Macaca fascicularis: one gene and its partners. The protein of the gene in region 1 binds, or shares a complex with, the protein of each later gene. Links are inferred from orthologs where the notes say so. Each region holds a gene or a part of one and is shown in the gene's direction. Other genes may lie near its edges.

The links.
Region 2: the proteins of EDN1 (region 1) and EDNRA are in contact, whole or in part, in a cryo-EM structure (PDB 8HCQ), measured with the Homo sapiens proteins. The link is inferred for Macaca fascicularis from reciprocal best matches to the Homo sapiens genes EDN1 and EDNRA. Residues at the interface, in NP_001403492.1 of Homo sapiens: Cys53, Ser54, Leu58, Asp60, Lys61, Glu62, Cys63, Val64, Tyr65, Phe66, Cys67, His68, Leu69, Asp70, Ile71, Ile72, Trp73; in NP_001948.1 of Homo sapiens: Tyr68, Gln72, Thr73, Lys74, Tyr129, Asp133, Ile136, Asn137, Lys140, Leu141, Gly144, Arg145, Trp146, Gln165, Lys166, Val169, Glu220, Phe224, Val227, Phe229, Tyr231, His236, Lys237, Thr238, Cys239, Met240, Leu241, Asn242, Gln252, Lys255.
Region 3: the proteins of EDN1 (region 1) and EDNRB are in contact, whole or in part, in a cryo-EM structure (PDB 8XWP), measured with the Homo sapiens proteins. The link is inferred for Macaca fascicularis from reciprocal best matches to the Homo sapiens genes EDN1 and EDNRB. Residues at the interface, in NP_001403492.1 of Homo sapiens: Cys53, Ser54, Cys55, Ser56, Ser57, Leu58, Glu62, Cys63, Val64, Tyr65, Phe66, Cys67, His68, Leu69, Asp70, Ile71, Ile72, Trp73; in NP_000106.1 of Homo sapiens: Pro88, Pro89, Ile94, Glu95, Ile157, Asn158, Lys161, Glu165, Asp166, Trp167, Val177, Pro178, Gln181, Lys182, Val185, Phe240, Ile243, Met245, Tyr247, Leu252, Ile254, Leu256, Leu257, His258, Pro259, Lys270, Lys273, Leu277, Trp336, Leu339.

The regions. Positions count from the first base shown.
Region 1 is NC_088378.1:160,651,196-160,653,527, reverse strand, and holds the end of EDN1 (endothelin-1), read left to right. Parts: intron 1-537; coding exon 538-643; 3' UTR 644-1,773; downstream 1,774-2,332. UniProt on the Homo sapiens protein: Endothelins are endothelium-derived vasoconstrictor peptides. Probable ligand for G-protein coupled receptors EDNRA and EDNRB which activates PTK2B, BCAR1, BCAR3 and, GTPases RAP1 and RHOA cascade in glomerular mesangial cells.
Region 2 is NC_088379.1:152,369,538-152,373,293, forward strand, and holds the start of EDNRA (endothelin-1 receptor), read left to right. Parts: upstream 1-1,426; 5' UTR 1,427-1,839; intron 1,840-3,756. UniProt on the Homo sapiens protein: Receptor for endothelin-1. Mediates its action by association with G proteins that activate a phosphatidylinositol-calcium second messenger system. The rank order of binding affinities for ET-A is: ET1 > ET2 >> ET3.
Region 3 is NC_088391.1:68,911,595-68,915,250, reverse strand, and holds part of EDNRB (endothelin receptor type B), read left to right. Parts: intron 1-1,229; coding exon 1,230-1,364; 3' UTR 1,365-3,656. UniProt on the Homo sapiens protein: Non-specific receptor for endothelin 1, 2, and 3. Mediates its action by association with G proteins that activate a phosphatidylinositol-calcium second messenger system.

The DNA.
Region 1 (2,332 bases):
CAGTTCTTCCCTCTGTACTTCTCCTGTAAAAAGAAAACATTAGGCCTGCAAATATATGTATATATATATTTTAAAATAATTGCCATAAAGTATTTGCTCTGGGCCTACTGTATGCCTCTTTTCTTTTTTCTTTTTCTCTCTTCTCAACTAAATCACTGTCAATTTATTAAGATGGCCATAACTATTCAAAACCTAGCTGAGTTCCTCAAGGCAGGGTTGCATTGTGGTGAAGGTTGGGTTGGGGCTACAGAAGAAACCAGAACACCTCTAGTTTATTTAAAACTTGTATTTACTGCCCAATTCCCCTTAGACTTGACCATATGACCCCTCTCTCCCATTCTAAGCATAGGGGCCAGCTTTATTTTTACAATGGTAATAGATATCACTTGAGGTTTTATCAAAGAGTTGCGGTGGGTGGTGAAAGTTCACAGCCAGATTCAGGTTTTGTTTGTGCCAGATTCTGATTTTAGATGTTTATCTTGCCAAAGGGTGATTTTTTAAAGATAACATTTGTTTTCTCTTATCTTGCTTTATTAGGACGGAGACCATGAGAAACAGTGTCAAATCATCTTTTCATGATCCCAGGCTGAAAGCCAAGCCCTCCAGAGAGCATTATGTGACCCACAACCGAGCACATTGGTGACAGACCTTCGGGGCCTGTCTGAAGCCATAGCCTCCACGGAGAGCCCTGTGGCCGATTCTGCACTCTCCACCCTGGCTGGGATCAGAGCAGGAGCATCCTCTCTGCTTGTTCCTGACTGGCAAAGGACCAGCGTCCTTGTTCAAAACATTCCAAGAAAGGTTAAGGAGTTCCCCCAAACTGTCTTCATTGGCTTGCATCGGTGGTAACTGCTTTGGTCTCTTCTTTCATCTGGGGATGACCATGGACCTCTCAGAAAGCAGAAATGCACAGTGACATTCGAATTCGGGTGGCATCCTCCAGAAAGAGGAAGGAGATTCCACACCAGGGTGGAGTTTCTGACAAAGGTCCTAAGGGAGTGTTTGTGTCTGACTCAGGCGCCTGGCACATTTCAGGGAGAAACTCCAAAGTCCACGCAAAGATTTTCTAAGGAATGCACAAATTGAAAACATACTCAAAAGACAAACATGCAAGTAAAAAGAAAAAAAAAAAAGACTTTTGTTTAAATTTGTAAAACGCAAAACTGAATGAAACTGTTACTGCCGTAAATCAGGATATGTTTCAAGAATATGAGTCTACCTCACCTATATTGCACTCTGGCAGAAGTATTCCCACATTTAATTATTGCCTCCCCAAACTCTTCCCACCCCTGCTTCCCCTTTCTCCATCCCCCATACTAAATCCTAGCCTCGTAGAAGTCTGGTCTAATGTGTCAGCAGTAGATATAATATTTTCATGGTAATCTACTAGCTCTGATCCATAAGAAAAAAAAAGATCATTAAATCAGGAGATTCCCTATCCTTGATTTTTGGAGACACAATGGCATAGGGTGGTTTATGAAATATATTGAAAAGTAAGTGTTTGTTATGCTTTAAAGCAGTAAAATTATTTTCCTTTATATAACCGGCTAATGAAAGAGGTTGGATTGAATTTTGACGTACTTATTTTTTTATAGATATTTATATTCAAACAATTTATTCCTTATATTTACCATGTTAAATATCTGTTTGGGCAGGCCATATTGGTCTATGTATTTTTAAAATATGTATTTCTAAATGAAATTGAGAACATGCTTTGTTTTGCCTGTCAAGGTAATGACTTTAGAAAATAAATATTTTTTTTTCCTTACTGTACTGATTTTGAATCATTACTGAAATTTCTAAGGAGTGGGCCAAAGTGATTAAGAATTATAAAGGCAAATGGTTAAAGATGGTTTTGTAGAAAAGTGACAATTAAAAGGATATTACAGTCTGAGCTAATTATAGAAAGAATTTTACCTACCTCTTAAATGTTGATTTTACATTGCATTGAGGTAAAAACACAAAACAAAAAAGCAGCTTTAATACCTCTGTCTTCTCTTGGGTAGCAGCCTCCTGCTTCCCCTTCACCTAAAAACTCTCCAGGGACTTCATCCATTAACTTGGCTCAGGCTATTAGGCAGGATTCAACAGTTTAAGCTGATGGTGTGGTGAGAGATGCTTTCTCCGTAGTAATGGACTGAAGGAAGTAATGGCAAGACAACCCCCCAAAACATACCTAATTATACAAAGTTACACACCAGAGTTGCGTTTAGAAAATGGCCTGCTCAGAGCAAGTAGAGGTTTCCAATGGCTTTTTATTTTCTCACATTAAGGAGTTTGTTTTTTAAGGAACATTGAGTACCATTGCTTCTTCGTGATAGCCTAGGACTGG
Region 2 (3,756 bases), on another chromosome or scaffold:
TAACTTTTCCTTTCCCGAAAATACTGTGAGCTTGCCAAGCCACATGCCCAAAGGGTCACCTTTTTTTAATGTAAACGATGGCACTTATGAAAGCTATTAGTTATTCTGATTGGCCAATTCTCCCTCATAAAGAAGCTGTAAGATTAATGCACAGGGTAATACCTAGTCTAACCCTACTAGATGACTATTAAGGCCTTTTTCAGTGGTAGTGTTCTGTAGATCTCTTTGATGGTTTTACAAAATGGTCCCTAAATTATTTGACACTCCTCACATTGAGGGTTGGGCTCTATAGATTCTCACCTTCAATCTGGGATCTGCGACTGCTCGACTAATAGAATGGAGCAGAAATGACACAGTGCCAATTTCTGGGCCCAGCCCTTAAGAAACTGGCAGCTTCCACTTTCTGTCTCTGGGGACATTCACTCTTGGATCCCCGCCACCATGCTGTGAGGAAGCCCAAACCACAAGTCTCCACAAGTCTCTGTGGAGAGACGCACGTGGAGAAAAACTAACACTCAACACCAAGCAAGTGAACTATCTTGGAAGTAGATCCTCTAGCCCCTGTTACATGGAGCAAAAACGAGCCGTCCCAGACAGGCTCTGCCCAAACTGCAGACTGATAAACAGAGTAAATGAGTGTTGTTGTTTTAAGCCACTACATTTTATAGTGATTTGTTTAGCTGCAACAGATAACCGGAACAGCATGGGATACAACGTGACCAGTGCTCCAACCTCACATTTCTACAATGTGCTGACTCTAGCAGTGCACTGAAGGACTCCAAGGCAGACCTTCCCTGAGGAGCCCCCAGTTTTTACTCACATGTCACAGGCAGTGGCCTTTGTCCCTCATCTCCTCTCCCACCCCCAATTTAGGATAAAGTCTCTGCCATGATAAAGATACTGAGACCCACTTTCTGTAAGGTCTGCTTCCTCATTGTTTGAATTTCTTGAGGTTTCACGGAGCCACACACTGGAACCTTCGTTCGTCTCTCCTGAGGCTCCTTCTTCGCCCTGGGTTGGAGGTCTGTAGCCGTGGGATGCCGGCTACAAGGGACAAGATAGAAGCAAACCACCTGATCCAGTAAACTGCTGTCCACTTCGGCTCCTCAATGGCCTCCAAGCCTAAAAGGGAGCACACAAGCCAAGCAAAGAGGGCAGGGAAGACGGAGAAGAAACCACCCGCGGGCCCTGGCTCTGGGTCCAGTTGTTCCATCACAAATCAAATCTGCCTGCACTAAGTGGATAGGTTCCTCTGCAAGGCCTTTCGGAATTCTGAGTCCTGTCTGTCAAACTCTACCCTCTCTCCTCCACATCCCCCACCTCTTCTTTCAGGAAGGAAATAGTTAAAAAAGACTCCTGCCCTTCGGGGCCTGGAAGGGGGCGGCAGCTTTGTGCTTTTTAGTGGTGGCTGTGTCCCAGGATAGCTGGAAGGTTAGGACGCTCTTGCGGTCCCAGAGTGGAGTGGAAGTTCTGGAGCTTTGGGAGGAGACGGGGAGGACAGACTGGAGGCGTGTTCCTCCGGAGTTTTCTTTTCCGTGCGAGCCCTCGCGCGCGCGTACAGTCATCCCGCTGGTCTGACGATTGTGGAGAGGAGGTGGAGAGGCTTCATCCATCCCACCCGGTCGTCGCGGGGAATTGGGGTCCCAGCGAGACCTCCCCCGGAGAAGCAGTGCCCAGGAAGTTTTCTGAAGCCGGGGTAGCTGTGCAGCCGGAGCCGCCGCCGCGCCGGAGCCCGGGACACCGGCCACCCTCCGCGCCACCCACCCTTGCCGGCTCCGGCTTCCTCTGGCCCAGGCGCCTCGCGGACCCGGCAGCTGTCTGCGCCCGCCGAGCTCCACGGTTGGTTGCAAGTCCTTCTTATCGGGACTAGGACTGGGACGGGTGCGGGGATGGCGGATACACTGCGTGGGCCCCTGGGTCGGGGGAAGACGAGAACTGGGAACGTTCTGGCCCGAACTCCCTGCAGCTTGGGCGACCCGTCGCAGCAGGGGCTGGCACCCACCTGCCCCAGGGCGCGTGGGGAGGCGGGCGCCTTCTGTGAGGGGTGCGGTCCGGGAACGTGTAGGGTTCGGGGAACTTCACCTCCCCACGTGTAGGATTTAGGATTCGGAGTTTTAGGAAGAGGAAGCCCAATGGTTTTCCCTGGGTGAACCCTTTTCCCCAGGCATGCAAGAACTTTGAGGAACACCGAGCTCTGTGGCTTGCTCCAGCGCCTACTTGTGAAGTTGGTTCCACAGCCTTTTCTTACTCGCTTGCTTTTCCTCCCCCACATCTGGGTCTGGGTATGCCAAGGGTAGCCAAGGGCACTCGGTGTGAGGGACTGAGGTGTTTGGGAAAACCCCCAGTGTAGCTAGTTTTGGAAATCTGCCTGTGAAGGTCTGGGTGTTTTGTTCTGTGCTCGCCTTTAAAGGACACTTGTTGCTTCGCACGTGCAGAAAACAAGAGCTGCTTCTAGATAATCACCCTCTGTTTACATCATCCTAATGGCTTTCCCCTGATAGAGTTGGGGGTGGGAGGCACGTTAAAGTCAGGCGTTGTCTCTAAGGAGAGTTGCTCATTTCTTAACCGGAGAGCAAACCCACAGAAAACTTGTAAAAAGTGCCTAGTTTCCTTGTTTTTTCCCCCACCTGTAGTTGTCTATGTGTTCGCTGATTGAGAAACACCTTGGCAGTCATTTCTGTAAATTGAATGCTCTAAACTCATGCCATTTTGATAGGGTCTGAATTTCCAAATTACCAATTACAGGTGAACTTTGATCCTGAAAGTCTCATATGTTAAATGGTTAAAATGTAAGCGTAAGGATTCAGTCCTCTTCCTTAATAATAGTTTTTGCACTCCCCAAACTCTCAGACCCCAAACAGGAAGAATGCTGAATCTGTAGACCATGCCCTTCAGGTCTGAACCTGAGATGCTTCACTAGCGCTGTGACTGATTATGACTGATGATTCAAAGCACAGCCTGACTCAGATTCCTGGAAATGAACTACGAGCCCACCTTGGAAGAACCTGCAGTTGATGGGCTTCTTTCATTTGATTTTGTACTTTCACCCAATGATAATATGACATCCACATGCCTTTGCCAAGTATCCCTTCGTTTTGCAGCTTACCATGTGTGGAGAGCTGACAGAGAAGTCATCAGAAATGATTTCTGTGGTGGTGTCATTGTTGGAAGAGGAAGGAAGGGGGTTTTAATGATAGCTGGCTCGTGCCTTAAGAACCCACAGCGTTGGCCTTACTTCCTGCCATAATCTAACCAAGCAGACCAGCATGCTAAGGTTCAAAGCACCACGGGACCTCTGATGAGTAGAGCAGTACCCACCGTAGCCAGGTCTTCACAGGTCAGTTCCCAGCCGACTGGAACTGGCAGAAAGCCATTCCATTTCTGGAAAAGGCCTTCTCTCTCTCATTTTTAAGAAAGCTGTTATTGAAGGTTCTGTTTCACTTGGGAAGCTGGAAGACATTAGTCACTAAACAGCACAAGATATGAAAGTATTTCTTCTCCCCCTGTCTCTGTGATCCAAAGAGGAGGATGACAAGAAGCTTTTCTCTTGGAGTCCTGGTCTTCCCTTTGGAATAGAAATGGTGTCATTTCATAGGTCTGTCAATTTTTGGCCAGATACTCACTCCAGATTATAAGAAGCAGGAAAAAACTGCAAACTGTTTATAATTAAGTCTAATCAGAGCTGAAAATTACATGGCCTGCCTCTAACCTTGAAAAATTGATATTTTTCCCATTTAATCAGAGTGAGTCAAGTCC
Region 3 (3,656 bases), on another chromosome or scaffold:
AAAATAAGGGCTAAACATGAATTAAAGACACTGTTCCCTGTTTTTGGTAGAGTCTGAACTTCGCAGCTTCAATTATTATTGTAACTAAATTAATTCCTTTTTTACATGGACTATGAGAATAATAAGGTAAACAAAAAAATAGTTTAGGTTTTACCTCTTTCTACCTTTTTTGTATAACAGTGATGTGCTGTTCAATGTGAAATACATAAAATTCCTTCTTCAGCTACTTGCATTTTATCATCCTTCTATTCATTCACTCCTTCAACAATCTAACATGAAATAAAATATCCCCTCCCCTAATACGAAAATCATCCATTTGTCATTGGTATTTCATTACTGGAAAGCTGAGAACGTAGCTCCCGTGTAAACACTAAGTCAGCCTATATCATTCTTTGCCCACTCATAACTCAAATTTTAGAGCTGGAAGAGAACTTCCGTCAGTATCAACACCTTCATTTTATAGAATATAAAATCGTGGACTTCCCATTTTCTTTTACATATAGAATGAACAGAAGACAAACAGAATGAACAAAATTTTATATTTAAAAAATTTCAAGAAAAAAATTGGATGAAGAAAACTGAGATGCTTTTGTACTATATAACCTTATTGTTTAACAATATTGAAAAGAGACATGAGAATACATGGCTGAAAAAATAAGAAAGCAGTATTAAATTAATTGACATGAAAAGATATTTATGTCACTGTCAAGTGAGAAAAAGCAGGTTAAATCTCCTCAGCAAAGTGGCTTAGAATAACTTGGGATGAGATGTGTGTGAAAGTATCTACAAGGTTATGGAGTATACATATAGTACAGTCTCACTAAAATATACTCACATTCTCAAGCACATGCACATATACATGTGTATAATTTATTTATTTCATGTATGTGCACATATTTCTGTTTTCATGGGGAAAAGTCTTGAATTATATGTTTATCAAATATTAAGAATATTTATCAAATAACCAAGAGTAAGTATCAATTAAAAGTGGCTTTCTCTTGATGAGAAATCTTAACTATGTAGTTTTTTTCTTCTCTGCATGTTTTAGTCAAAAATTATCATATGCTAATTCTGTGAGTATATTCTTTTAAGAGGGAAAATAAAAGAGCACCGAAAGACAGGGCCCAAGAACTCCTAATTATGCAAAGAAAGTCAGAACCCTGGAGAGGAGGAAGAGTTGAGAAAGGTGACTGATGTTAACATATAATGAGTTACTTTGTTTTGTACAGTCATGCTTATGCTGCTGGTGCCAGTCATTTGAAGAAAAACAGTCCTTGGAGGAAAAGCAGTCGTGCTTAAAGTTCAAAGCTAATGATCACGGATATGACAACTTCCGTTCCAGTAATAAATACAGCTCATCTTGAAAGAAGAACTATTCACTGTATTTCATTTTCTTTATATTGGACCGAAGTCATTAAAACAAAATGAAACATTTGTCAAAACAAAACAAAAAACTATGTATTTGCACAGCACACTATTAAAATATTAAGTGTAATTATTTTAACACTCATAGCTACATATGACATTTTATGAGCTGTTTACAGCATGGAAAGAAAATCAGTGGGAATTAAGAAAGCCTCGTTGTGAAAGCACTTACTTTTTTACGGTTAGCACTTCAACATAGCTCTTAATAACTTCCAGGATATTCACACAACCCTTAGGCTTAAGATGAGCTCACTCGGAATTTCTATTTAAGAGATTTATTTTTAAATCAATGTGAATCTGATACAAAGGAAGAATAAGTCACTGTAAAACAGAACTTTTAAATGAAGCTTAAATTACTCAATTTGAAATTTTAAAATCCTTTAAAACAACTTTTTAATTAATATTATCACACTATTGATCAGACTGTAATTAGATGCAAATGAGAGAGCAGTTTAGTTGTATTTTTTGGACACTAGAAACATTTAAATGATCAGGAGGGAGTAACTGAAAGAGCAAGGCTGTTTTTGAAAATCATTACACTCCTTTCACTAGAAGCCCAAACCTCAGCATTCTGCAATATGTAACCAACATGTTACAAACAAGCAGCATGTAATAAACTGGCACATGTGTGAGCCAAATCTAAAATATAATACTTTTTAAAAGAAAATTATTACACCCTTTACATTCAGATAAGATCAAACCTCACAAAGAGAAATAGAATGTTTGAAAGGCTACCCCAAAAGATTTCTTTGAATCTGCCATTCACATAGCCTGTGAAGAAAATACTATCTACAAATTTTTCAGGATTATTAAAATCTTCTTCTTTCACTATTGTAGCTTAAACTCTGTTTGGTTTTGTCATCTATAAATATTTAGCTACATACACTGCATGTAGACGATTAAACGAGGGCAGGCCCTGTGTTCATAGCTTTACAATGGAGAGATGCCAGTGACCTCATAATAGAGACTGTGAACTGCCTGGTGCGGTGTCCACATGACAAGGGGGCAGGTAGCACCCTCTCTCACCCATGCTGTAGTTAAAATGGTTTCTAGCGTATGTATAATGCTGTAGTTAAAACACTATTTTTCAAAATCATACAGATTAGTACATTTAACGGCTACCTGTAAAGCTTATTACTAATTTTTGTATTATTTTTGTAAATAGCCAATAGAAAAGTGTGCTTGACGTGGTGCTTTTCTTTCACTTAGAGGCAAAACTGCTTTTTGAGACTGTAAGAACCTCTTAGCTTTGTGCGTTCCTGCCTAATTTTTAAATCTTCTAAGCAAAGTGCCTTAGAATAGCTTGGGATGAGATGTGTGTGAAAGTATGTACAAGAGAAAACGGAAGACAGAGGAAATGAGGTGGGGTGAGAGGAAACTCATGGGGACAGATTCCCATTCTTAGCCTAACATTCGTCATTGCCTCGTCACACCAATGCAAAAGGTCCTGATTTTGTTCCAGCAAAACACAGTGCAATGTTCTCAGAGTGACTTTAGAAATAAATTGGGCCCAAGAGCTTTAACTCGGTCTTAAAATATGCCCAAATTTTTACTTTTTTTTTCTTTTAGTAAACTGGGCCACATGTTGGAAATAAGCTAGTAATGTTGTTTTCTGTCAATATCGAATGTGATGGTGCAGTAAACCAAAACCCAACAATGTGGCCAGAAAGAAAGAGCAATAATAATTAATTCACATGCCATGTGGATTCTATTTATAAATCACCCACAAACTTGTTTTTTAATTTCATCCCAATCATTTTTTCAGAGGCCTGTTATCATAGAAGACATTTTAGACTTGCAATTTTAAATTAACTTTGAATCACTAATATTTTCAGTTTATTAATATATTTTTATTTCTATTTAAATTTTAGATTATTTTTATTACCATGTACTGAATTTTTATATCCTGATACCCTTTCCTTCTCCATGTCAGTATCATGTTCTGTAATTATCTTACCAAATTTTGAAACTGCACACAAAAAGCATACTTGCATTATTTATAATAAAATTGCATTCAGTGGCTTTTTAAAAAAATGTTTGATTCAAAATTTTAACATACTGATAAGTAAGAAACAATAATAATTTCTTTATATACTCAAAACCAAGATAGAAAAAGGTGCTATTATTTAACTTCAAAACATGTTTCCTAGTATTAAGAACTTTAATATAGCAACAGACAAAATTATTGTTAACATGAATGTTACAGCTCAGAAGATTTATAAAAGATTTTA